Linked DNA regions of Mus musculus. The protein of the gene in region 5 interacts with the protein of the main gene of each other region in a pairwise test. Links are inferred from orthologs where the notes say so. Each region holds a gene or a part of one and is shown on either strand. Other genes may lie near its edges. The genes, in order: Marchf2, Vti1b, Bnip3l, Adgrg7, Ldlrad1, Mall and Pln.

Region 1 (3,500 bases), on a different chromosome or scaffold from region 5:
GCTCAGCTCCTCCAGCCCCATGTCTGCCTAGACATTGCTATGCTCCTACCTTGATGATAATGGACGAACCTTTGAACCTTTGAACCTGTGAGCCAACCCCAATTAAATGCTGTCCTTTATAAGAGTTGCCTTGGTCATGGTGTCTTTTCACAGCAGTAAGACCCTAACTAAGATGCTGAATACCCATGTTCCTGTAAGTAACCACATACCCAGGCTCTATAAGCAAGTCCCATACACTCATTGGTCCCCACAGGCCCACAAGGAGTGACACTTTTAGGTAATGTGGCCTTGTTGGAGTAGGTCTGTGTATGTAAAAGCCAGAGGTCAACATCAGGTGATATTCCTCAGGGGATGTCCACCATGGTTTTTTTTTTAAGTCTCTAATTGGCCTAGGACTCACTAATTAAGGTAGCTTGGCTCACCAGAGAGCTCCAGAGATCTGCTTGTCTCTGGCTCCCTAGTACTGGGATTACAAACCCAGGCTACAATGCTCAGTTTCTTACATAGATTGTAGGCATGGACCTCAGGTCTTCAAGCTTGCACAGCAAGCATTTTATGAACTGAACCATCTCCCTAGCTCCACTGATAAACAAACACCCCAGTTACTTGGATGTACATGTGTCTGTGTGTGTGTGTGTGTGCTAATATATACATACTAATTACTATATATATGTGTTGTATACATGCATATATATACATGCATACATATATATATATGTATATATATATATGTATATATATACACACACACTATTTTTTTGTCTTTGTACCCAAATAAAGGAGTACCCAAAGAGGTCAGAAGAGGGTGTTAGATCCCCTAGAAATGGAGTTACAGACAGTTATGAACTGTTCAATGTTGGTATTGGGAACTGAACTCCTAAAAGAGCAGCAGGTCCTTTTACCAATGAGCCATTCCTCCAACATCAGTATTTGGCTTTTTTTCTCTAGCATATTAACCTCTCTGACTCTCTCAAGTGATTGGACCTCCTGACCCTAGACTAGTAGAATATCATTCAACCCAGAGAGAAATGGGGACAAAAGCCTGGCTACTAATGGTCACTACTCACCTCTGTGAATCCAAAGCCCGGATGACAGTTGAGAGCAGCCGGCCATCCCGTGAAGTCACTTGTGCTACATATTGAGGTGGCCCAAGCCCTGTGGCCTCTACAACCTTGGAAAAGGCAGGGCTGCTCGAACAGTCACATAGGGAGCCAGGGAGGTGGCAACAGTCACCTGTCGTCATGGCCACAGGGAGCCTCCTGTCCTCAGGGCCTGAGGCCCATGGTCCCAGAAACCTGGGCGGGAGGGGGCAGAGAGATCAAAGGCAAAATTAGTGAGTCACAACAGCAGTTTTGTTTCCTCTTTTTTTTTTTTAAGGTATGTATGTGTTTATGTTCCTGTGCTTGCAAATATGTGTGTGAGAGTGCAAGTGAACATGTGCAAAGGTACATTAGTAGAGATCAGAGGCAGGAGAATACCCTTGTCTTCCACCTTGCCTGAGACAGAGTCTCTTCTTTGTGCTAGGTACACCAGACCAGCTCACACCCAGCTTCCAGAGATTCTCCTGTCCCCTCCTCCCACTTCACAGTATGAGGACTAGGACTGCACGGAAGGCTTATTGTGCCTTACTTTGCATGGGTTCAGGGGATGTAGACTAAAGTCCACACCTTCCTGTAGGGTGGGGTCCCCAGCCTGAGTCCCTCTTCTGATCTCACTGTTTTACTTAATGTTTATCTGTATAGGTATTTTGCCTGCACATCTGTCTGTAGACTACTGCCTGGTGCCTGCAGAGACCTCCTGAAACTGGAGTACCCATGGTTGCTAGCCACCATGTGGTTGCTGGGAATTGAATCCAGGTCCTAAGGAAGAGCAACCAGTGCTCTTAACCTCCAAGCCATCGCCATAGCCTCTGAGCTCGTTCTGTAGTGTAGACTAGCCTGGAACTGAATATCTCAGCCTTCTGAATGCTAGATTACAGATCACGCCTGGCTCTTGAGTCCTGTCTTGTCAGAGATTGTGAAGATTATTTACCTGTCAAACTGACACACTCAAGACTCACCTGGGAAGGGGCTCTCAATGAGGAATGTCTAGACTAGGTTGGGATATAACCACGTGCCCATAGGAGACAATTTTTTTTCTTTTTAAATTATGTTTGTTTTGTGTGTAATATGTATATGTGTGTAGATGTATATGTTCCAGAGCATGCATGTGAGAGTCTGAAGATAGCTTGCAGAACTCAGTTCTCTTCTTCCACAATATGGGTCCTAGGGGTTGATCTCAAATCAAGGTTGAAGATCAGTTGCTCTGTCCCCGGTTCCCAAGGAGAGGCTACAGGAGATAATGAACACCTTAGGTAGCCATTCTCGTCTGCCTTGGGTAGCTTTGGTGGGATTCTGCTCTCTGAAACATCTGGAGTCTCTCCTATCTAGGGATTTTCTTAATTGGTTACTTGAGGTGGGAAGACCCACCCTGGATGTAGGTAGGCTACACACTGGACTGAACAAAAAGGGCAGAGTGAGCTGGGCACTAGCCTACATACATTGTTCTCTGTTCCTGATTATAGATATGATATGATGAATGCTCTCTAGCTCTTGCCACTGTGACTTCTCTGAAGTGATAGCCTGGAACTGTGAGCTAAAATAAATCCTTTCCTCTCCTCTGTGATGGTTTATATATGCTCAGCCCCGGGAATAGCATTATTAGAAGGTGTGGCCCTGTTGGAGTAGGTGTGGCCCTGTTGGATTAGGTGTGGACTTGTTGGAGTAGGTGTGTCACTGTGGGTGTGGGCTTTAATACCCTCATCCTAGCTGCCTGTAAGTCAGTATTCTCCTAGCAGCCTTCAGATGAAGATGCAGGGCTCTCAGCTCATCTTGCACCATGCCTGCCTGGATGCTGCCATGCTCCCACCTTGATAATAATGGACTGAACCTCTGAACCTGTCAGCCAGCCCCAATTAAGCATTGTTCTTTATATGACTTGCCTTGGTCATGGTATCTGTTCACAGCAGTAAAACTGTAAGACATCCTTTAAGTTGCTTTTGCCCTGGTATTTTATCAGGGCAACAGAAATAACACTAAAACAGAACTCAAAGACTATGGGCAAAGACTTGACTCTTTGAATCTTTGCATTTGTAAAATGTAGGTAGGTGAGAACTCTACAAGTTGATGTATACAACTTAGGCAGGCGTAGAAGACAGCTGGGCTTGTGTTGGATTTTCTCTCATTCTTCTAGAAAAAGGCAGGCATGGCCCCACTTCAAATTCCTACAAAACCAGTCTCCAAATCACATTTTCACATAGAGGAACATTGATTGAAAGTGACTGCACACCTGTGTGCCATGCCCTTTGCTCAGTTTTTTACACAGCCAGAATCACCCTATTCTAGCGAAAACCGGATCCTTGAAACTGAGCTCAAAACATATTAAGCTATCGTTAGTGAAAGCAGAATGCATCTAGAGAGGCTCAAGCATGAGTCAGAGGTAGAGTACCTACCAAGAATCCA
Region 2 (3,471 bases), on a different chromosome or scaffold from region 5:
TGCCTGGGTGTTTTGTTGTTGAAGTTACTTTTGTGTCCCTGTTTGTGGAGTGGGGAGTACATGTGGAAATCAGTGGACAACTTGCTGGCCTGGCTCTCTCAATCTCACATGGGGCCCAAGGTTCAAACTCGGCTAATCAGGCTTGGCTGAGGCACTTCACCTACAGAGCCACCTTTCCAGACTGCAGAGGGCTTTCTGATTGTGGTCATTTTATATTGGAAAATGACTTGTTTTTATGAGGTGGAACAACCCTCACTGAAAGTGGCAGCCAGGGCATGTTCTAACGTCTTTTACCTTTTATTGTTCCAGGGTTGCTGTCAGCTCTGGATCTTGTTGAAGTCAATCCTCATTTGGCCACTTCTGAGGAAGAGGCCAAGGCAACAGCCAGACTAGCAGTGGATGTGATTGCTTCAAGTTTTGGTCAGACAAGAGAAGGAGGACACATTGTCTATGACCACCTTCCTACTCCTAGTTCACCACACGAATCAGAAAATGAAGAATGTGTGAGAATTTAGGAAATACTGTACTCTGGCACCTTTCACAACAGCATTACAGAGTTGCAAGGCATTCGAAGGGACAGATATGAAATGGCTGTCTGGATCAATATTGCCTTAATGAGAACATCTGTGCACTCTCACAACTGTAAAACTCCCTTCTCTATTTTGGTCACCAACACTATTACTGTAAATGTATTTTTTGTTGTTTTTGAAGTTTACAAGCTATTAATGTTATACATGTAAGTTTGAAGGAGTCATAAACAACATTTATTACCTTAGTATATCATACTGGTCTTGTTGCTGTTCCTTCACATTTTCGAGGTTTTCCATTGCCCTCCCTCCCATAGTCTGACAAGACAATACATTCTTGAACTGTTAGCCCACAGCAGCAACACATATTCCTATGTAAAACCATTCATTCAGAGTAAGATGCTGGTCCACAAGGCTTTCCCTACAGAAGTTCAATGGTGTCGAAAGAATTTGTAATACACCAGACCGACCAGGATGGCTAGCTCCAGCAAGATGATGACGGAGAGCAGCAACTTGTTGGTTATCACTCTACAAAGACAAGCAGAGTAAGTAGACATGAGTCTGGGCAATCTTATTTCTAGCTGTTTCTAATGCTAGACACAGTGAGGTAGATGGAGTTTGAGTTTGGCTACACAGCCACACAGCAGAAAGCACTGTCCTTTGGACAGTGACAATTCATGGTGCTCTTGGCTTAAGTGAGGGACAACACTGACTACATCACAAAAATGTGGGAAACAGGAATATAACACTAAAACGTAATGACTTCTTGACTCTAAAAATTCCTCTACTTGTCCTGCTGTTTTAAATATGGTCCTACCAGCCATACATACGCTACGGGTGCACTCTTTAGTGTCAAAGTCGATTAAGCTCACGGCCGGGTCCTGCTTGTAGGATGAGGAACTAGTGGCCTTGAGATCTGCTTTTCAGTGTCTTGTAAACTTCTCCCTTCTTACTCTTCCCTATTTCTCCCTCTGCTCTACTACCTCAACAGTCACTCGCCAAAAAGTTTACTTCAGGTTATCATCTCGTTTCTCCTTACTTTAAGGAATTATTAGTGTTTGGGGGAAATCTTCTCCCACTGCTTGTTCTATGAATGGATTTCTGAAGCTCTTGTTAGCTCACATGCACCAAGGACACGCCACACTAGGTACCCAGCTTAGCCCAAATGGCACCATCTCCCTTCGGCCTTTTTTTTTTTTTAACTACAGTTAGGAGTTACCTCAAGGTTGGTTTTTTTGTTTAGTTTTTTTAAAATTAGTGAACACAGGTATGTGCATCCTACACAGTTCACTTGTGGCAGTCAGAGGACAGCTTTGGGGATGGCGCTCTCCTATCAATCGTCAGGCTCATGCCACAACCGCTTTTACCTCCCGCTAGCTTGTTTTTGTTCTTTTAAAATACTTCTTGCTAACAAGACAGGACTCCCAAAAAAGGCCTGCCATAAAAGGCAAGAACTAAGTACTATCCGTGCTCCCACACCGGGTGTTCATAAACATGTTCCCGGGAGCAGAAAAGCTCTATTGGTTCCTTAGGTCCCCTCTAAGAGAGAGAAACTGGGACTGACATTGTTCAGCAGACAGGTTTCCCACTATTTATGTTGGAACAATCTATGAATTTACCAATCTCCTGAGATATGTAACATACAGACTATGTTGTCCTTTGCTGTTGAGTGACTTCGGGGCAGGGAGCAGGGCTTGGGGAGCACCAAGGTGATTTACCAGGACATTTGTTAAGTCACTGGTTTAAGCTTTCTTAGTTGAAATACATTAAATGTCAAGAATTTGTGGGGGTTTTTGAAACTTACTTTCTGGACATTGAGCGAAGAATCTTCCGGCTTTTGCTCAAATTTTCATTTGTATTTACCAGCTGGAAGAGAAAATAATAGGTCATCTCCTAATCCTTTCCAAAAAAAAAAAATCTATAGAACTTGAACATGGGCATTAAAAAGGTCTTTGTTAAGACACAAAGAATCAAATGAATTTAATAGCTTATATCTAAGCTATTAAGTATAAGTAAAGGAACCTAGAAAAGTCAAGGTGTTTGGGTGCTCATTAAGGAGGGAAGCACTATATCTCATTGTTCCTATAGGCATGGGCGGCTGTGAGGTCACTAATCCTTCACCTTGGCTATTCAGATAGGAAAGCGACAGGCATGGTAGCATGGTGGCGCACACTTTTAATCCCAGAAACAGGCTTGGCAAGTTGAAGCCAGCCTGGTCTACAGAGAGTTCCAGGACAGCCAGAGCTACATGAGACCCAGCCTCAGGAAAAGAACAAAAAAAAAAAAAAAAAAAAGGGAGGCGGGGAGGAGAATAGTGCCACAGTTTTAAAACCAAGCCTTTCTGACTGCCATATAGGCTATAAGGTTTTACCTATGCTGGGCCAGTGACTGCAGGGCAACCTATGATTTGAATCTTATCACTTAAATACTTGGAGAGCCTCCTGAGTTGGTATTTGCTTGTGTTTTTAAGGGTTTACTTTTATGTGTATGAGTGTTTGCTTGAATGTATGTATGTGCACCGCATGGATATGTGGTGTCCTCAGAAGTCAAAAGAGGGCATCGAATCCCCTGGAACTGGAGACATGGTTGTGAGCTGTCATGAATAGGAAAACAGAGCTGGAGAGGTGACCCAACACATAAAACCACTTGCTGCTGTGCTGGGCAGTGGTGTTGCATGCCTTTAATCCCAGCACTTGGGAGGCAGAGGCAGGCAGATTTCTGAGTTTGAGGCCAGCCTGGTCTACAAAGTGAGTTCCAGGACAGCCAGGGATACACAGAGAAACCCTGTCTCAGGAAACCAAAAGAAAAAAATAAAAGAAAAAGAAAAAAAGGCACTTGCTGCTTGTCCAGAGGACCTGAGTTTATTGCCGGGATGGGTATGGCAGTTTACAAGCATAACTCCAGTCCCAGGAAATCTGATGTCTCTGGCTTCCTTAGGCACCAG
Region 3 (4,011 bases), on a different chromosome or scaffold from region 5:
CAATTAAGAGCAGTATCTGCTCTTCCAGAGGACCTGGGTTGGATTCCCAGCATGACTTGGAGGCGCACAACCATCTGTACTTCTGTTCCAGGAGATTTGATGTCCTCTTCTGGCCTCATAGGCACCAGGTATGCACATGGTGCACATACATATATGCAGGCACACCCATACACATTAAAACGGACAGACAAACCCTCTGCCATGATCCTTGAACTAAAGATAAAAATCCCAAGCCAGAGATAATCTGTATGTGTTTCAGCTGCTGTTTTCCACAGTTGTGGAACTGCGGCCAGCAAAGTGCTTAGAGTTATCAGCAATTAGGATGGTTTTAGATGTCTGAGTAAGTTGTTTTGCTCATCCAAAAAAAAAAAAAAAAAAAATCACTTGGAAGAATCAATAAAGTTTGTTTTGTTCAATCCAGGGTTGTGTACTAAACTTTAAAAAGCAAACAAAGGCCAGGCAGTGGTGGCACACCCCTTTAATCCTAGCACTTGGGAGGCAGAGGCAGGCAGATCTCTCTGCCTCTGCCTCTGCCTCCCAAGTGCTGAGGTCAGCTTGGTCTACAGAGTGAGTTCCAGGACCGCCAGGGCTACACAGAGAAACCTTGTCTCGAAAAAAAAAACAAAACAAAACAAAACAACAACAACAACAACAAAGCAAGCAAAGTAAGAGGCAAGGACAATAATTAAACCTGGCACCATCGAGCTTTCAGTAACTTTTAAAAGTACAGCTTAATTAGCCCAAGTACAATACTTTTTATCTAGCAGATTTCCCAAAGTAACATCTGGTATCATCTATAGGCTGGAGGGTCTCCAAGAGCCATTGAGAAAACTAAGGAAGAAGCTGGCTGGTCCATGACAAACACCTCCCAGGTCTGTGAGACTTAGGAATAAACAAACATAGCTCAACCCTTTTCAGTTCTGTTGTTAATAAAGAATCCAAGAAAAATGAAAATCCCTTTGAATTTTCCAGACATCTAAGCAGTAAGAAGACGCTGAGCACAACTAACTCATAAAGGCCCAGGCGGAAGATACTCATATATAAGCATGCCAAAAACAAGGGAAGGCTCCCGAAAGCACCCATGGGCCTCAAAAAAGAGCCACAGCTTCTGGAAATAACATGAAGCATGTATTTCTTTAGTCTTTTCATTTCCAAAAATGTATGCTAAAGATGGGTAAAAATTTTAAATTCTGAATTATGTGATTATGAGTAAAATTTAAGGACACACTTGACTAGATCTTTGTAAAAGCCGGCATTTTAGAGAAGTTATCAAATATTGCTTATCAAAATATGGGGCAGGGACAGAGTCTTAAAATTCCTGAATTCTTTGTTCCTTATTTTTTGGTTTTGTTGTTTTCTGACACAAAGTTTTATTCTGGGGACCACGCTTACTACACTTCCCTAGTGCTTGAATGACAGGCAAGTGGCACCACACCTGGCTAAAATACCCAAACGCTCCTGCCACTATCCTCTAGACTCAGTAACAGCTCTTCCCTAAACCGTTCTGGCCACCCTGGAAGCCATCCCTCTTATGAAAGACACTGCCTGACCTTTAAGCATACAAATGGCTTTTAAAGAACTTCATCTGGCCCTGTGACAACTACCACCACCCACTACCTCTTTCATTAAGACATGAAATCCAAACAGAAAGGTTGGGCAAGAAGGTCCGGCGATCTCACAACAACAGCGGACACTCTGGGGACAAGATGTCTGTTTGACTGCAACTGGATCCTGACCATCAACTTTCAATTGCTAGTACCTGTGGCCTGCGTCTGTTGTGTTGTTTACTGTATTTCCTGAAGTTCACTGCAGATTTGGCTGAAATGGACGTGATCCTAGGGCATGTGCTGGGCACCCAATCCATTTAACATAAGAAACAGCACTTGAAAAGTTACTAGTATGGTGGCTGCCGCCTGTCACCCAAGAACTTGGGAAAGTGGAAAGTAGGAGGGATCAGGTCACTCAGCAACACAACGAGTGAGGCCAGCCTGGGCTACATGAGAAGCTCTCTCAAAAAAAAAAAAAAAGAAAGAAAAAGAAAAGAAAAAGCAGTAAAATATGAATTCAAGGTTAACAGCAACAAAAAACTCACTTGAGAAACTTGGGAATTTTCAGACTAAAAAAAAAAAAAAAGATAAATGTCAGGGGCGGAGCAAGCACCCTGCACGAAACTCCGATGACCCCCTGGACCGGCGTGTGGTAGGAGGCGAGCTCCGCAAGCACACCTGCGCGGCCGCACGTCCACCCGCCACGCCCGACCGGTCGCGTCCATCCCCCGGTGTCCCCGCCGCACGTCCCATGCTCCCCCTCCGCTGGCCAGCCTCCGCTTGCCACCCCGAGTTGCGTGCGCCTCCGGCTCCCGACGCCCACCGCGACCCTAAACCTCGGCGCCCAAGGCGCAGGCCGCGAGCCAGCGCCGAGCGCCTGCTCCTAACCGGAGCGCGCCGCTGTCAGTCATACGCACAATCTCGGTCCCAACCAATGAGCTGTCGTCTGCTCCCGCCCACTCCCCCACCACCACCACCAACCCCCCCCCCCCGCCCGCACGGCGGCGGCCGAGCGGCTCCTCCTCCCCCATCCCTCCGCTGAGCCCGGCGGCCCCGTGCTCACTGTTGAGGCCAGCGGGCGGCGGCAGGGGCTGCTCCCCTTCCTCGCAGTTGTTGTTGTTGTTGTGCAAGGGCGGCGGCGGCTCGACTAAGTGAGACATGGTCTGGAGACTGGAAGCGGCACGGCCGCAGGACGACAGTATCCGGCTCTCGAGCAGCAACACAACAAGTCGAGTTCCCCCGCCCCCTTTTCTGCGTCTGCGCAGTCCCTCCCTTCGTGACGTCAGGGCCCTCCCGGACCATGTGATGACAACACAGGCAGCTGGACGGCGGGGTCGGAGCCCAGGATAGGGGGCGTGACCAGGCCGGGCTGGGCGGGGCATTCGCGAGCTGCTCGGGACGTGCGGGTGCGGAAGTCGAGCTGATACGGGCGCCAGGAAAGAATTCCTGCGAGTCAGTCGCAATAGCCGGAAGGGCTGAGCTAGGAAGTTGGCATTGGATTGAGATTAGGGAGGAGTGTGCAGCCCGGAAGCGCGCGGGGCCTGAATGGAACCCCTCCCACGCCTGCAGTATCCACTTAAGAACTCACCCGTGGCTTTAAAGAAGCAGAAAACCCCAGTTCCTCCCCTTAGTGAAACATCCATTTGTGCCTCCCACAGAATACCGTGGGAGGTACCTTGGAGCTAATCACCTTGTTGGAATTTATAACATTTTAATTGCAAAGGTAACATGTAATCACGGTTTAAAAAAAAAATCAATGGCTGGGCGTGGCGCACACTTGTTATTTCAGCTCTTTCTAAGACTGAGGCAGGAGGATTTCGAGTTCCCTGCAGCCTACGCTATCGAGCGACCCATTGCCTTCAAAAACAAATTAAAAGGGAAAAGAAAATACAGATTTACCCAAACCCTGGTTGTTATCTATCTCTGTAAATGCCCTACCTCCTGTACGCTGGTTGCTGACTCTGTTAATGTTCCTAAATACTCCTACGTCGTATCTTTGTCAAGTTTCCTTGACCCGATTTTTGTATAATGTTTTTCTCAATATTGTACTTGCCTTTTAACTTTGCTTTAATTGCAGTTGTTGAATTTTCATGTAATTGTCTTTTTTAAAAATATGGTCTGAGATACCCAAACACGGAAATACTAAATCTAGGACCAGCCAGTGAGATGGTTCTGCCGGTAAAGGCGCTTGCTGAGTAAACCTGCAGACTGAGTTCATTGCCCGGAGCTCCCGGTAGATGGGAAGAAAGCTAACAAAGTTGCCTTCTGACCTCCACCAATGCACCGTGGCATATGCCCTCCCCCTCTAAATCATAAATACAGGCACACACAATAAGTCTTTGTCACTTTGAATTGACATCCAAAAACATGATCTGGAGGGATAGCTTGGGGGGTTAAGCACACTGGCTGCTCTTGCAAAGGACTCAGGTTTGGTTCAAAACACCCACATGACAGCTCGTTCACA
Region 4 (3,500 bases), on a different chromosome or scaffold from region 5:
TAGTGTTCTGTAAATACCAATCCTATCTGATTTCTCATGTCTTAATTTTCCAGTAACAATGTTCATCACCAAATGTTCCAATTTATTTTTACTTGAACAATTTAAATTTGATTAGGACTGAAACAATTCTTCCCTTTGTCTTTTCTGGGACACAACATAATGTTCAAGAATTTTTTTCATAACAAATCACTCTGATTACTTTCCTTTAAATACTGTTAAAGTAGCTAGGAGATTTTCTTCTGTGCCAATGTGTTCAAGGCTATTTCCCATATTCTCTTCTATTAGATTCAGTGTATTTGGTTTTATGTTGAAGTCCTTGATCCACTTGGACTTGAGCTTTGTGCAGGGTGATAAATATGGATCTATTTGCATTCTTCTACATGCTGACTTCCAGTCAGACCAGCACCATTTGGTGAAAATGCTTTCTTTTTTTCCACTGTATGATTTTGGCTTCTTTGTCAAAAATCAAGTGTCCATAGGTGGGTGGGTTTATTTCTGGGTCTTCAATTCTATTATACTGATCAACCTGTTTGACTCTATACTAACACAATGCAACTTTTTGTTTTTATGGTTTTGTTGTTTGTTTGTTTTGAGACAGGGTTTCTCTGTGTAGCCCTAGCTGTCCTGGAACTCACTCTGTAGACCAGGCTGGCCTCGAACTCAGGAATCCACCTGCCTCTGCCTCCCAAGTGCTGGGATTAAAGGCGTGCACCACCACACCTGGCTACAATGCAGTTTTTATCACTATTGTTCTGTAGTGCAGCTTGGAGGTCAGGGATGGTGATACCTCTAGAAGTTATTTTATTGTTCAGAATTGATATTTTTTCCATATGAAGTTGAAAATTGTTCTTTCCATGTCTGTGAAGAATTGTGTTGGAATTTTGATGGAGATTGCTTTTGGTAAGATGAACATTTTCACTATGTTAATCCTACCAATTCATCAGCATGGGAGATCTTTCCATCTTCTGAGGTCTTATCTGATTTCTTTCTTCAGGGACTTGAAGATTCTTTTCATACAGATCTTTCACATGCATGGTTAGAATTACACCAATATATTTTATATTATTTGTGACTATTATGAAGGGTGTCATTTCCTTAATTTCTTTCTCAGCCCATTTATCATTTGTATAAAGGAGGGCTACTGATTTCTTTGAGTTAATTTTATATCTGGCCACTTTGCTGAAATTGTTTATCAGCTGTAGGAGTTCTCCGGTAGAATTTTTGGGGTCGCTTATATATACTATCATATCATCTGTGAATGTCATATCATCTGTGAATGTCATATCATCTGTGAATGCTGATACCTTGACTTTCTTCCTTTCCAATTTGTATACCCTTGATCTCCTTCTGTTGTCTTATTGCTCTAGCTAGAATTTAAGTACTATATTGAATAGATAGGGAGAGAATGGGCAGCCTTGTCTTGTTCCTGATTTTAGTGAGATTGCTGTCCTGTCTGGCCTCAGTGGGAGAGGATGCACCTAATCCTATAGAGACTTGATGTCCCAGAGTAGAGGGATACCTGGTGGCACCCTCTCAGAGGCTATGAGAGACATCTCCTCAGAAGGATGTGGGCAAGAGTCTGTGAGGAGGCACTGTGAGGGAGGGCAACATTTGGGGATGGGAGGGATATAAATAAATAATTAATAAAAAAGTAGCTAGGAGATTAATTGCATATGTTCCAAATCTAGCATAAACTAATAAAGGGATGTTTTAAAAATTAAACCCTTTGATTTAGCTTATAATATGTCCAGTATACCCGTGTTGATCCCTCACTGGAGAGTCAGCTACTAGACAGAAAGAGTTCTTAGTGATTGCTCTATTTTTTCCCCTACCCTGAATGGTTAGACCTCCAATGGGTGTTTGTTGAAATTTCTAATTAAGTGTTGGTGCAAACACTTACCCCATCCAACTAATGAGATGAAGATAATGAAATGCCGAGGGAGAGGCTTCATGGTTCTTATCAGAAGGAAGTAGAGTTGTGTAGCACTGAGTCCATTCCAGGTGAATGTCACCAGCAGAAAGTAGTGGAGCAAGGCAGCAATGGCTGTGCATGAGGGATTCGGGGTTTCAATGGTGTCACTTTCTGGTATTTTGTTATTTTCAGGTTTAACATTGATGTCACTATCACTTGTCTTTAGGTTCTTATTGGAGTTTTCAATTCCAAACACAAAGAGGAGGTTAAAAATCAACATTGATGAACACAAACTGACCAACACCCAGGTTACTGAGGTTTTTCTGATTTTCCTAAAAATTAAAAGTAAAAATAAAATAAAATAAAATAAAATAATTAAATATGAATAACCAAGTAAAATCACAGAAACTGCAAAGCATCATCAACTGAGACAGGCTAGGCTGACTCCATGACAGGCTTCTTCAAGTTGGCAGTTCAGGAGACCAGGCCTAAATCTCTATTCCCAAGAACTGGGCAAGTCCAGTCAAGCCCAGGCAAGTCAGGTACTGAAAAACCCAAAACAAACAAACAAACAAAACCATACAAAACAAAAACAAAACCTCAGGTTTCAGGCAGCCAGTCAGAAACTGCCCTGCCATCAGAAGCTGCCCTGCCACCTGGCCTACAAGAAGGACAATGGGTCAGCAGCAGTTTCCAGACTTCCCCAGCAATAGTTTCCAGTCCCCCACTCCCCACTAATGGTCCTGGAATGTCCCTAGAGTTAGAGCCAATAATTAAGATAGAGGTCACCTACCCCTTCCCTAGTGTGCTTTAAATCAGGTCTGTGAGCTCAGTGGGGGCATCTCTATCTTTGTAATGGGAGACGCTAGCATGCTGGACTTCTGCAGAATAAAACACTCTTTGCTTTTGCATACTATTTGAACCCAGGCTATTACAGAACATCATCAACAATATCAACAGCACCACCACCAATATCATCAGCAAATCAACAACATCAACACCATGAGGAACTGTATAAAGGGCTGTGGTATTAGGAAGGTTGAGAAGCACTGTCCTAGAGGGACGCCCCAGAGGGCTCATCCCAGCTATTTTCCCAACTCCATCTCCTGAAATAGCTCAGCAAGACCAGACCAGCCCCATAAAGCCCCTAACTCATGAGAGATAATACTTTACGCCATTGAGCTCGAGCATGTGCAAACATATACAAAGGCTATGTACAGAAGAATGTCTACATGGCATTTCTACCTGAAAACAGAAAATTTTGCATTAATAGGTGAACCCATGTTTGAATGTAGAGAAATCTCTGTTTGTAGCCAATATTTATTTTTAAACATCATTTGTAAATTTTAAGTTAATGCCAAATATAATTTTAAAAGTTCATAATAGAACAATGATACGTTTTTTAAAAGTTTATTTTGCTTATGTTTCAAAGAGTAAATACTCCACAAACCTGTAAATTAGGCAAAGTGTTTTACATTACTACTGATGCTATTTTTCTTAGTAGGCAGATGGTTACTGCCTTTTTGATGTTAGAACATAATCATATTTCTTTTCTGTAAGTCAGCTTAGAATTCTTTTTCCAAATGGT
Region 5 (3,500 bases):
CCATGCTTTGGCCCCTCCCACCTACTGAATAACCCATGGCTTAATCAGAACTGTTACATGTCTCATATGGGCCAAGCATGAATGCCCTCCTCCTGAAAAGAGCCCCCACCTTCTACAAAGAAACCCAACTGAAGAGGGATTGCTGAGACTGACCATCCCCTTAAGGGGACCCCACAGTTCTACTGTCTCACTCATCCTTACATGGCGTGAGGTGGGCTCTCTATAAGACCCCCTACTGCTCATGTGCCAGGACCCAGGCCTCTTCTCTAGGGGCCCATTCCCCCAAGCTCCACCCCTCAGCTCCCAGCTCAGCTCAGCTCAGTTCAGCTCAGAAATGGGTGAAGAAATACACAAGTGGTGAAAGAACAAATGAATGGCCAGGGCCTGGCTGCTCCTTGGATGCCATTTTCAAACCTCACAGGGTCCACCCTGGGCGAGTCATCCCCTGGGCCTCGGTTTCCCCATCTGTCTAATGAGAACCCCTATCCTTGCCTGCCTGGGTGTTAGGAAGATAGAAGGGATACAAGGGACGCAGGGGAATGGCGTTCTGGCTTCAGGACCAAAATATAAACCTGCAGGTGACTGTGGGGTGAAGCAGGGCTGAGGCTCAGGCTAAAAGCATTGAGGGGTTCTTCTAAGCTGTGCTTTCTCTGGGTCTTCTATTCTATAGCCGCAAGCCTCCAAGAGACTGGGAAACTAGAAAGATACTAGGTCCCAAGTGCCATATGCAACCTCATGTGATCAGTCGAGGCTGCTGGGGAGTTGAGCAACAAGTTACAACGGCCTTGAACTCAGCAGTTTCTGCCTTAGGTGGGGAATGACGGGAAATGTGTGTGCCTTGTTTTCTACCCCATGGGGCTAAACTCACTTGGCATTTAAGCCACACATTTATCTGTCTCTTCAAGGGATGACAAGATCGGAAATTCAGGCCTGCTCTGGAGTCAAAGAGCATGTCTCCTCTATGTGATGCCATAGACAGGCCTAAAGTGATGGAGTCAGACACCTCGTCTTATTAGAGTGCCTAACATGGTGGTGAGCTCCCTGTCATTGACGTGCTCAAGTGGAGGCTGAGACACTTGAAAAGAGGAAAGACAATTCCTGTTCAGAGACAACAGGGGCCGGTACCACTGGGAGATGGCAAAAGTTTCTTCCCACCCTTGCGGTCCAGGGTTTGGTGCTCTGGTGAAAGGATCTGGGTGTCAGCTTCCATGCTATGGAGGGAGGCTCACTCAGGGTCCAGGACAGGAGTACTCATCTGACCAGTCAGAGCAGTGCTGCACGCTGTCCCGGCACAGATCCCTCGGGACACAGCTGCAGTACTTGAACACAGTTGGCGAGCAGCGCCACCACCCAGGGCCACAGGGCGGGCACGTAGTCACTGGGGAGACAAGAGACAGTGCAAGAAGCAGCTGTTGACCCTGGGTTCTCCAGATAAGAGGGTGCTCTCTAGATCTGCAACACGCCTAGTTCCTGCAGCCTTAGGCCATCTAGTGTGGGTGACTGTGTGGGCTTTCCCTGCAGCAGAGAGAATTGCAGCCTCACAGGTCGTACACAGGCTGTGTGACCTGCTCGCCCGGCTAAGCCTCAGTGGTTCAGTAGAAGAAGCCTGACAGTGTTCGGGAATTAATGGATGTGGAGATGCTGCACCACCCAGCCCAGCTTCCTGCCCCACTCTCACTCCCACCATGAGCAATCCTTTGGATACTCTGGGGGTGCCTTACTCCTCTGTCCCCTGTCCTATATCCGTGGCTCCCCATTCCTCTCTACACACCAGTCCTGACTGTTGGCCCCTGTTCTCTATGGCATGCTCTGTGATGCCTTTTCTGAGGTATCTGGTAGATTCTTCAAGGTCCCAGTACTTCCTCTTGGCACCAGCATGGTGTGGTCCTGGGGATGGGTCTGACTCCTGACTCTCCCTTGCAGAATCTGGCACAGGCCACCTCAGCAGTGCTCAGAACATCTCTGTTGACTTAACACCGGGCATAGAATGTGTGTGCATGTGTGCCCACACAGGCATGTACACATATGAGTGCATGGACACATATATGTGCACTTGTGTGGAGGCTTAAGGTCTACAGTGTCTTCCTTGATTGTCCTTCACCTTTTGTCTTTTGAGATAGAGTCTCAGGCTGCCCTTCATCTATGAGGCCAATGATGACCTTGAACTTTTGACCTTCCTGCCTCTACTCTCGGAGTATTGGGGTTATAGAAATGTGTAGCTCATTTATGCCGTGCCGAGGATCCACCCAGGGCACACTAGGGAGCTGCTCTACCACCTGAGCTGCATCTTTAGCTCCTTACCTTTCATTTCTGTATTATATTTATTTATTTATTGTGTGTGGGAGTGTGCACCTGACATGGTACACTCGCGGCATGGGGAAGTTAGGAACCTGTGGCTGGTTCTCCCTTTCTACCATGGGCATTGAGTTAGGTCCTGATGCGATGCAGCAACACTGACCGAGCATCTCCCCAGTGCTGGGGAAAGAATGTAAGGATGTCTAAGGAGGTCCTTCACTCTATACTCCCTTCCCGTAGCTATCTGCTCCCTTCTTGGTGCTTGGGATTGTCCACATATGAACTGGGCCAGCAAGTCCTGCCCTGCGCTCCTCTTAAGGCTATTAGGAGATGCCTAGGACAGAAGGCTCAGATCCAGAAAGGCTGGGCACTCTCTTTGCTCAGTCACCCCCTGGGTCCTAGTGTCCAGTCAATGCCCTGAAGATAGCATCCTCCACAGAAGAGCCTCTCACAGCAAGCACCTCTAGCCAGACATGTTCAAGTAGGAGGGGAAATTTTCTTCCCAGGATGCAGGGACAGCATGCAGGGGACCATGCCCTTGGCTGCTGCCCGCCTGTGGCCAGACCCCCACCTGGGCTCAGCTCATCTGAGCAGTCTCCACAGTTGTTGACGCCATCACATTTCTGGTCTGAGTAGATCCAGGAGTCTGGGTCTCCACAGGTGGTCAGGAGGAAGCTGGGGAGGCTCTGGGGCACATCTCCTATACAGGGACAAATGGGGCAAGACAAACTCACCTCTGACCACAGTACCTCAGTTGCCTGCAGCTGGATCACCCTGTCCTACTGCAGGATCTCCCCATTCATTCTGGAGGTCTTCCAGGAAGGAGATCAGTTCCAAAGAGTGGAGTGTTCTTACTCTGTGCAACCTTTGTGGGGTGACAAGGGGTCCCTGAGAGCACCCCTTGTATGTCCCCACCCTCAGCATTGTGTACATACTCACTGCAGCAGTCCCCCTTGTCACCTCTGCTAACCTTCCACCTTCAATCTCCAGGAAGCCTCAGCTCATCAGGACATAGCAGGTAGAACTGGATTTCTTACACATGGGCCCCAGGAAGTTGTGGACAGGGTGACCCAAATTCACACAAACCCAGGCCAGCCTCAGGTAGTGGGCTCCCCATCCTGGAAACACTTAAGCAGAGGCTGGACAGTCACTTGTCATGCTGGAGTAGCGCATGGGATAGGAGCTGGAGTGTGGACCCAGTGGCG
Region 6 (4,180 bases), on a different chromosome or scaffold from region 5:
CCTGTTAGAACCATCACTATCACAAAATAAAACATTTTAAATGTGAATTTTAATGCTGAAGATTGGGAGGGAAAGCACTGTGGGCAACAAAGGTCACTGGAGTAGGCTACTGGGAGCCTGAACCACCTTTGCTGTCATCTCCAAGAACCACCAAAAGCTAGAGCCACCTCCAAGGTGGCTCATGGCTAGCAAGGGAGAGCTTGTCTGATGTGATCTGACAATGGATCTGCTCACTCTTGGTTTCCATGTGGTGCTCCACACATGCATACACACGCGCGTACACACACACACACACACACACACACACACACACACACTCACATACACATGGTGGTTAGGAGAGGTCACTGTAGACACCATGTGTCTATGTCACCCTACTGAAGAATCACTGCATCCTAGTACTTGGGCTCTGCTTTCTGTGCTCTGCACAAGTGTCCTGGTCTCCCTGCTTTCTAATGCCTTCTATACAGACTTTTGTCTCAGACCAGAGGGCTAAGGGTCAGGGGTCCCTGGAGGCATGGTGCTTTTACACTGCCCCAGTGGACAGTGGAGGGAGAAGACATCAGAGCAGCAGAGCCAAAGAAGGGCCTGGGACAAACTGATTCAGCACCCAGAACAGCTTCCCAGCTTCTTCTGCCCATGACATCAAAATCTGATCTTTTCCCTTCCTTTCCCATGCTCCATACAGGCACACACATTATCCTGGAGTTCTTCTATGCATGCTCATAGCAGGTACAAGAAGCATGTGCAGAATAATGCACTCAACACACACACTCAGATACAGATATTTTACACACACACACACACACTCAGATACATTCATACATACACACACACTCACACACACACTCACACACATGTTCACACACAGACTCACCCATGCACACAGACCCCCCCTCACTTGCATATGCACACACACACACACACACACACACACACACACACACACACAGATGATGCATGTGCTCCGTCTGTGAACACAATTCTGCATTTTCTAAGTTTTCATCAATGAATGAAGATGACTTCCAAATGAAAACTAGAGTTACAGCGAGCAAACACAGACAGGGCTAACTGCAACAAGGGTCTGTCACAGCCGGCCGGCCAGTGCTTTCTCCAAAATACCAAGATGGAGGCAGAGGAACCGCCCCTGACTGAAGGGGAAAGGACAGCCAACACAATCAGGAGTTTTGACCTGGCTCCTGGGCTAGGGAAAGGATATTAGTGGGGAAATGAGCAAATAGAACAACAATGGTCAATGGCAGAGTGCTAACTTTAACTTCCTGGTTTGGAGAGCCCTGTGGGGTTCCGAGTGAGGAGCAGACTTCCTATGCTGCCGCTATGGCTTTAGGAGAAATCTAAAACTATTTAAAAATAAGTCAAGAAAATCAAATCAATGACAATGACCTCATCCCCTCAAAGTCCCAGGACACCATGAAAGTACTTTTCCAGGAATCCAACTGCAGGGGACAACTGTCAGCACCTCTAGTGACAACTCTCTACCTGGCTGCTCTCCTGCCTCAGGAATCCAGCCTTCTTCCAGGGAGTGACAGGCCTAGACCCCTCCCTCCTCTGGCCAGGACAGTGTGCTGCATTCTAAAAAATGCCCCCAAACCTCTCTCCAGCCACAGAGACCCCTGGGAGGTAGCCACTCCTCTGATGATGATTTGCGTGACTGGCAAGCTCAATAGAATGTGGCAGAGCCATCCTGTCACCCATGCGACTGTTCCAAAGTGAGGCCCACACCCAGGGCCTGGCACACAGCTCAGGATCTGATCAGCTTGGCTGGATGCCCACGTTTGTGGGGGACTGGTGCTAGAAGAAACCTGCCTCTTAGGTGGAGTCTCTATCAAGGCCACCCACCTGTGGGACCCACAAGGACGCTTCCCAAGAATGGCTGTTGTTTAAGCAATTTGCCTAAAGGTCACTCAATGGGACCTAACCTTCCATGAAGACCAGAAGGGAAAGCGTTGGCCACACCCATTTTATGTAACCTGTCCTACTCCAAGTCTTCCTCCCCGCCCAGAGGCAGCATGGTCAAATTCAGGGCTAGGAAGAAAATTTCACCCACAAACTAGATATTACAGGAGGCGTGGCAGGGAGTAGGGGAGGTGGATAGTAGCAGGAGCCAGCTGAGGAAATACTGAATGCATTGCCGAGTGCTGGCAGGGTTCAGCGCCTAGTTCTGCTCTGCCGTGTCCCAGAGTCGGGCAGCAACAAGTTTCCCAGAGTCACCTGGGCGGTTCAGATTGTTTTATGGACGATGCTGTCATGAGCTCCCTTCGGCAGGGAACACACGTAAATCAAAGTTCAAAGTCAGCTGATGTGATTTGAGAAAATACTGGGAGACCTTCTTTCAGAAGGCCCTTTAGAGAGACCCCTAGTTCTTTGAACTTTAGTAAAGTACAAACAGCTAGGGGGAAAGAAACCAGGCAGTAGAAGTTTCTTAGAGGTCTGGATAGTCTAGAAGGTGGCTGGACCCCTCCAGCAAGAAAGTGGCCTGGGGATTAGCTCCTCATCCTTTGGGAAAGAGGAAAACTTGCTCTAGAGGAACCCAGCCTGGGAAACCCACAGGGAAAGAGGGAGCCTGAAGTTAACTGCCAGCGAGGTTCCCTGCCGGGTCTGCCCCTCCCTCCCCGCAGGTGGGGGCAGTCAACTCACCAGCTCCGGTAGGAAGAAGGCAAAGGGGATGGTGAGGAACAAGGCGGCGACCCCCGAGGGCACGTCAGGCGGGGCGTAGCTGGTGGCCGGCGGTGTGTCCCGGGAGGCCATGCTGTCACCTCTGCTGGCGTCTTTACTCCGTAGCACTCGCCTGCGCCCGCAGCTGTTCAAGAATCACCTCCCGCCCGACAGACAGACACACCCATCGGTCGGAGGGACGTCGCCTGGGAGGGGAAAAGAAAGGTTCCAGTAGAGCGGGGGCCCTTCTGTGCACTGTGCTAGCCAGGAGAGGGGACAGGACCAGCCTCGCAGAGGGTCTTTCTAGACTTTCCCTGCTAAGGAACTTTGAATGCTGGAGCAAAGGACTCCAGAAGAGATGAAAGGAACAGCTTTGTATGTATGCTCCTGGTGATCTCTATGCTCAGAGTGTAAGCAAGGGCTCTTTTGCTAAGATAAAGATTGTTTACTGAGGACCTACTGTGTGGTTAGCCACCTTCAGACACTTCTGAAGTTCAGATAGACCACCACCACGTGGCTTTGTTGTACCTTTCCAGTTAAGGTCACAGAGTGGTCACAAAAGCAGCATCTGCTTTTGTCCTCAGAGTCTAAATGAAGGATTGGAGCAGCCTGGTTTTCACCTCCCTCCTCAGGTACTCTGAGTCCCTCTTGGGTCCTCCTCTCACTGTCGTTCTAGTCCAGCTAGGACACAGGGTTGGGACCAGGCAGTTCCTTCCTGCTTAGAGCCTGGGGCTGGCTGCTTGGCTGTGCTTCCAGACCCAAAGCTCTTCCTTTCACACAACGCCAGGCAGGGCTGGAGACTGGGCCACCTTCTTCTTTAACAACCCACTAACCTTGGTTTGTTTTCCCACCGCCCTGAGGGAAGGCCTGGCGCCCCAGAGCCTTCTTCCTCCCCTCTTCGGCTCCAGCAGGCCAGTTGAAAAGCCTCCTCAGGAGTAGGAGAGGAGGCATGGAAGAGTTGTCCCAAGGACTGGGGGATGTCCTGCACAAGAGCCCTGTGTCTTGTTCCTTAGCAACAGCAGGGAATTCCAGGGCCTGTCCTGGGCAAGGTGGGAGGAGTAGCTGGTTCGCTCTGCCTGGTCTGGAGCAGCCAGCAGAGTCTGGATACATGAAGCTTGAAGCCAAGGCATTGCAGGGAAAGGCAAAGATCTTCCCAGCAAGCTTCCAGACAGCCTGTCCTCAACCTTTTCCAAGTCCTAGAGCGTATAGTTCACAAGCTCAGGCCCCCACACTGCTGACAGAATGGATCCAAAGCCACCCACCTTTTCTGAATGTCACACACAAGTGCTATGTCTCTCTTTGGGGCTGTGGCCCCCTTGGATGTGACCATAATCTACATGGGGCGTCAGGGAAGATGGGGCAGGGTAAGAGGTACACACAGGTTCCAGGGATTGAGCCCAGCCACCAGGCTTGAGGGACGGTGCCTTTACCTGATAAGCCATCTCACTGGCCTGGAAAGTATCAATTCTGAGTAGACTGTGACGTTAACTATGCACACTGTACT
Region 7 (4,150 bases), on a different chromosome or scaffold from region 5:
CTTTGTTCAGAGTTATGGAAAAATCAGTCTGATTTTTAGATAACAAGCTTAAATGGATTGGAGGTATATTTTTTATCAATAGAGCAAACTTAATGATTGTATATTTTAATTTGATTCTGGTATGTTCATGTCTATGTGATTATTTTGAACTTTGCTGACTAGAATTTACTGCTTAAAAACTAAGGACATCAGTAACTTTATGCCTGACTTTGAAGATAATGTTTAGAATATCATACAGAATAGTACAGATCCAACACTTGATGGATTTAAATGAAACAGAGGAATGCTTTTTAGTTAGCAGTAGTTTGCATCCTCATTTTCTCAGAAAATGACCATTCACAGCATTTTGCATTTGCTTTTCTTTTTCTGTACCTTGTCAGGATGATGATGTATCTTAACCATGCTCATCACTGAACGGGATCAGAGGTGCAAATGGCCTCTCCCACAAGGTCTCCTATTTGCTTGTAGCTCTGTGAACTTCACAGAGCTCACTTGTTTTAAAATCTGTTCTCCAAATGATGATGTAGAGATGCATACAAAGAATTAAGAGGGAGTGTCTGTGTGTAAGTGCACTTAGGAAAATGTTCTTCAGAAAAAATGTGCTTATGCTGTGTAATTTATAGCAGTGATCTATACTTTAATCATCCTCACTTGATGTTTTAATATATACTTTGAATTCTATAGCCAATGCAAATATTATGTCTTGATAAATTGGTGAGATTAAGAAACAATATTTGTTAATAATGACCCAAATGCAGCAATTTTCCTCTATGTCTACTAAAATATTCTAAAAACAATTTTGATTTGCTTTAGGAAATGACACTGCGGCAACTCCTTTTGGCAAAGCAAATCATCTCATTCTTTTTTAGTGTATCTGTTACATTTCTTCATTGATTTTATCCTTTTTTGTGCTTACTTTTAAAGCATGTACCTTTATAAACAAAATACTTCAATGTCACCATAAAGCTATGTAGAAACTGTGCTTTATATTGAAAATTTTAACTACAGGCAGCATCTGCTTAATCTGCTAAAGATGCTTTCTATAGCAGAATTTATATTTTTTTCTAGAAGTTGCTTCCTTTTTTTTGTAACTAATTGTGATATAAGGAAATTCTGGTGGAAAGAAACTCATTACCTACCCCTTACTCCACTGAAAAAAACTTTTGCACACACTGTTCAAGTTTGAGAATGCTATTGGATAGGCATTAAGGTAAACCTTCAGGGACCGGGGAAAGGGCTCAGTAGGTAAGGCACTTGCTGCCAAGCCTGACGACCCAAGCTTGACTCCTGAGACCTACATGGTGGGAAGAAAGAACTGACTCCTACAAACTCTTCTGACCTTCACAGACATGCAATGACACTCTCTCTCTCTCTCTCTCTCTTTCTCTCTCTCTCTCTCTCTCTCTCACTCTCTTCCCTAGTCCCCCAGCAACACAGTGGATAGATAAATAAAAATAGCAGAAATATGACAAATAAACTTGGCACCAAGTGTAATTTGTATAATATCAAAGAAAAAATATTTTTAGGGTTACAAAATTATTGAGAGACCAGTGTTCCTTGGAGTTAAAGCACATACTAAAAATGTTTTTACATGACAAGAATGTTGTGTAGGAGACAGCTGTGTTTGTCATAAGCAGCAGAGTTAGAATTATAGGAATTGAGAATTGTAGAGGTAAGTTTTATTTAGCATTTAAATATGATAGGAATATAAATAGTAAAATAAAAATCTGTTTATTTTCTATGTGATCTATTGGATTTAATAGTGAGAAAATATTTTACTTAGTAGATTGAGATTTTAACAAATAGCAATAATAAAGTTTTTGTTGCATATCAATTTCCTGAATATTTTGTTTTACTTCTAAATTCACAGCAGGAAACTTAAGAACACTGGAGAATAAAAACTTGATAAATGTACTCTGTTGTTAGAGGAATATACACTTATTAAATTTCTTGAGAAATGTTTGTATGCTAAAATGTCCTTTTTACTTTTAAAAATGTTGAATTATTTTCTGTCACTTAATAAAGACATGTGCTTGTTTTAAAACTATCTAACTTGTTCTTTATAGCTTCAAACTAAAACAAGCTATTTTCATTAAAATAAAAGTTCTAGAAGTGTTTAAAGGTTGACTGGAATTTTAGAGAGTAACAGTCTTCAAGAGCATTTGAAAAGTAGTTCCTACTATCTGTTCTTAAAAATCTCTTTTATTGTATCACCTTAAGAACTACAGTAATGTCGTCAAATAAGTGTACTCACAGTGTGCATACCCTTCAGTTATAAATAAGCTGAAAATAAGCTGTGCCCCAGCTGTAAATAAGTGGCCTCGTCCTGCACTGTGTTTTAACAAGCAACACATAGCACATGAAACCATTGCTTTTGTATGAAAATTAATATACCTCTCCTACCATATATGCTAATATAATGGGGGGTTAAATTGGGAGTTCATATGTGAAAACCCAAAAAAACCTAGTAATCAAAATTTAAAGATGAATAGAATCTCTTTTAAAGTTGTCTAATTTTCACTGTCAGTAAATGGGTAAGAATTTATTTAGAAATTAAGCATTTTGTCATAGCAGGTTCTTTTATTATGTAGCTTTGAATTGGAATTTGGGAGTTAGAATTCTTTTAAGAGTTTAATAAGATTGAATATCAGAAAGTAAGAATGTCCAAAGTCAATGATCTCACGTCTTACCTTGGCTTCGGTGATCGTCACAGTGCAGAGCATGAAGCTGTATGAAGTCTTATGGGAGCTTAGCTGGGCAGTTTTCTGTTCCCAGGTTTATGGGAGCAGCTGCAGTAGGTGGAGGAGAAAAAGGATTCTAGGGAGGTCTTATGACATCACGTAGGAATTCTAACATGTGATTGGTTAGCCATGTTCTTATCACAACCAAACCTTAGAACTTATTTTATGTTAGGTTTGGAAATGCCATTAACACTTTGTGCTTTGCTTTTAGTTTTTAACTTAAAAATGTGTATAACAGATAACTGAGAATAAAGTAAGTTTGAAGATACTGCTTTATAGTAGGTAGCTTTCCTTAAAGAGTTATAAGTCGTCAGACTTGGAGATAGTTACACACTGCTGTTGGAGTGGAAGAGCTAACATAGTTGTGAAGGAATGCAGGTAGCTTGGGAGGGATAATGTAGGCTCAACAGAGGCAGGGTTAATGGAGCTGCCCTCGCAGAGCCTTGCTTGTCAGAGCAGCAAACATTCTCAGGTGATATTTGATGCCTTTCCTTGTCTTATTTATGTTTGTGTTTCACATCTGTCTAGGTATTGCTGTCTAGGTAAGAGAATGAATGCATAAAAGAAAACTAGGTCAATACTTTGTGTTTTGAAAAAGAAATTTATAGTTAGAGGAGCAAATACATTCAACTTACATTTTCTTCAGTTAAGGTTTTCACCCGTGCTCTGAGAAATGAATCTGTATTTCAATAGCTATGTATTATTCCCCAGAAAGATGCACTTTATACGTTTAAGGCCTTAAGAGTTTTCTATAGCTACATTGTATTACCACAGAAACCAAATAGGTTTTTAGTAAGCTGACCTAGTGTCAGGAGTAGCTTTTCTAGAAAAGATGAGCTGCAGGTTTCTGTCAGCTGTATGGCAGTGTGGCGGTGCTGACCAGGTCTCCAAGAGATGAAATAAGTGTCCAGTATTTATTTCTGAAAGTTTTTCACCTAATGTAGCATTTTTTTTTGTCTGAAATGTGAGAAAAATTTTAGAATGCCACCACAGTAGGTCTGGACTGACTTTGAGTAGAACTGAGCCATGCTGCAGAGCCGAGCACGTCCTGCTGTCTCCTACCGTGCTTCACTGTTTTTATATTACATGTATGTAAATCAGCACATGTGTGGACCCTGATTTTTCAGTTTCACTGTTTAGCTTTAGAGAACCTATGCGTAATTCTTAGTGTATAGTAGAGTAAAATCAGCCTCCCTCTTTCCTGTGAGTATGAAAACTGTGTGCCTGCAGCTGCTCACTGAAGTCCTTAAATGGATATGATCTTGCCTTCTTGCAAAGCAAGATGAAACACTTCTCTAGAGCAAATCTCCTGTTGCTTAAAATGTTAGCTAAAACTAACTGGAAAATATTTTATCAAAGAAAGTCTATAAATATTATTTAAGGACATATTTACCACGTAAAAGTAAAGT

The links.
Region 1: the proteins of Ldlrad1 (region 5) and Marchf2 interact in binary tests that used the Homo sapiens proteins (3 or more experiments, as listed by UniProt). The two-hybrid records come from large-scale screens. The link is inferred for Mus musculus from reciprocal best matches to the Homo sapiens genes LDLRAD1 and MARCHF2.
Region 2: the proteins of Ldlrad1 (region 5) and Vti1b interact in binary tests that used the Homo sapiens proteins (3 or more experiments, as listed by UniProt). The two-hybrid records come from large-scale screens. The link is inferred for Mus musculus from reciprocal best matches to the Homo sapiens genes LDLRAD1 and VTI1B.
Region 3: the proteins of Ldlrad1 (region 5) and Bnip3l interact in binary tests that used the Homo sapiens proteins (3 or more experiments, as listed by UniProt). The two-hybrid records come from large-scale screens. The link is inferred for Mus musculus from reciprocal best matches to the Homo sapiens genes LDLRAD1 and BNIP3L.
Region 4: the proteins of Ldlrad1 (region 5) and Adgrg7 interact in binary tests that used the Homo sapiens proteins (3 or more experiments, as listed by UniProt). The two-hybrid records come from large-scale screens. The link is inferred for Mus musculus from reciprocal best matches to the Homo sapiens genes LDLRAD1 and ADGRG7.
Region 6: the proteins of Ldlrad1 (region 5) and Mall interact in binary tests that used the Homo sapiens proteins (3 or more experiments, as listed by UniProt). The two-hybrid records come from large-scale screens. The link is inferred for Mus musculus from reciprocal best matches to the Homo sapiens genes LDLRAD1 and MALL.
Region 7: the proteins of Ldlrad1 (region 5) and Pln interact in binary tests that used the Homo sapiens proteins (3 or more experiments, as listed by UniProt). The link is inferred for Mus musculus from reciprocal best matches to the Homo sapiens genes LDLRAD1 and PLN.

What each region holds. Positions count from the first base shown.
Region 1 is NC_000083.6:33,708,678-33,712,177, forward strand, and holds part of Marchf2 (E3 ubiquitin-protein ligase MARCHF2), read right to left. Parts: intron 1,296-3,500; 5' UTR 1,244-1,295; coding exon 1,068-1,243; intron 1-1,067. UniProt on the Homo sapiens protein: E3 ubiquitin-protein ligase that may mediate ubiquitination of TFRC and CD86, and promote their subsequent endocytosis and sorting to lysosomes via multivesicular bodies.
Region 2 is NC_000078.6:79,155,517-79,158,987, forward strand, and holds the end of Vti1b (vesicle transport through interaction with t-SNAREs homolog 1B), read right to left. Parts: intron 2,394-3,471; coding exon 2,332-2,393; intron 1,056-2,331; coding exon 959-1,055; 3' UTR 516-958; downstream 1-515. Other genes in the region: Arg2 (arginase-2, mitochondrial precursor), read left to right, coding at 310-515. UniProt on the Homo sapiens protein: V-SNARE that mediates vesicle transport pathways through interactions with t-SNAREs on the target membrane. These interactions are proposed to mediate aspects of the specificity of vesicle trafficking and to promote fusion of the lipid bilayers.
Region 3 is NC_000080.6:67,006,078-67,010,088, forward strand, and holds the start of Bnip3l (BCL2/adenovirus E1B 19 kDa protein-interacting protein 3-like), read right to left. Parts: upstream 2,801-4,011; 5' UTR 2,708-2,800; coding exon 2,611-2,707; intron 2,112-2,610; exon of another isoform or gene 1,760-2,111; intron 1-1,759.
Region 4 is NC_000082.6:56,740,359-56,743,858, forward strand, and holds part of Adgrg7 (adhesion G-protein coupled receptor G7 precursor), read right to left. Parts: intron 2,245-3,500; coding exon 1,901-2,244; intron 1-1,900. UniProt on the Homo sapiens protein: Orphan receptor.
Region 5 is NC_000070.6:107,215,644-107,219,143, reverse strand, and holds part of Ldlrad1 (low-density lipoprotein receptor class A domain-containing protein 1), read right to left. Parts: exon of another isoform or gene 3,002-3,500; intron 2,996-3,001; coding exon 2,867-2,995; intron 1,379-2,866; coding exon 1,230-1,378; 3' UTR 1-1,229.
Region 6 is NC_000068.7:127,727,098-127,731,277, forward strand, and holds the start of Mall (MAL-like protein), read right to left. Parts: upstream 2,801-4,180; 5' UTR 2,770-2,800; coding exon 2,659-2,769; intron 1-2,658.
Region 7 is NC_000076.6:53,336,336-53,340,485, reverse strand, and holds the start of Pln (cardiac phospholamban), read right to left. Parts: upstream 2,801-4,150; 5' UTR 2,691-2,800; intron 1-2,690. UniProt on the Homo sapiens protein: Reversibly inhibits the activity of ATP2A2/SERCA2 in cardiac sarcoplasmic reticulum by decreasing the apparent affinity of the ATPase for Ca(2+).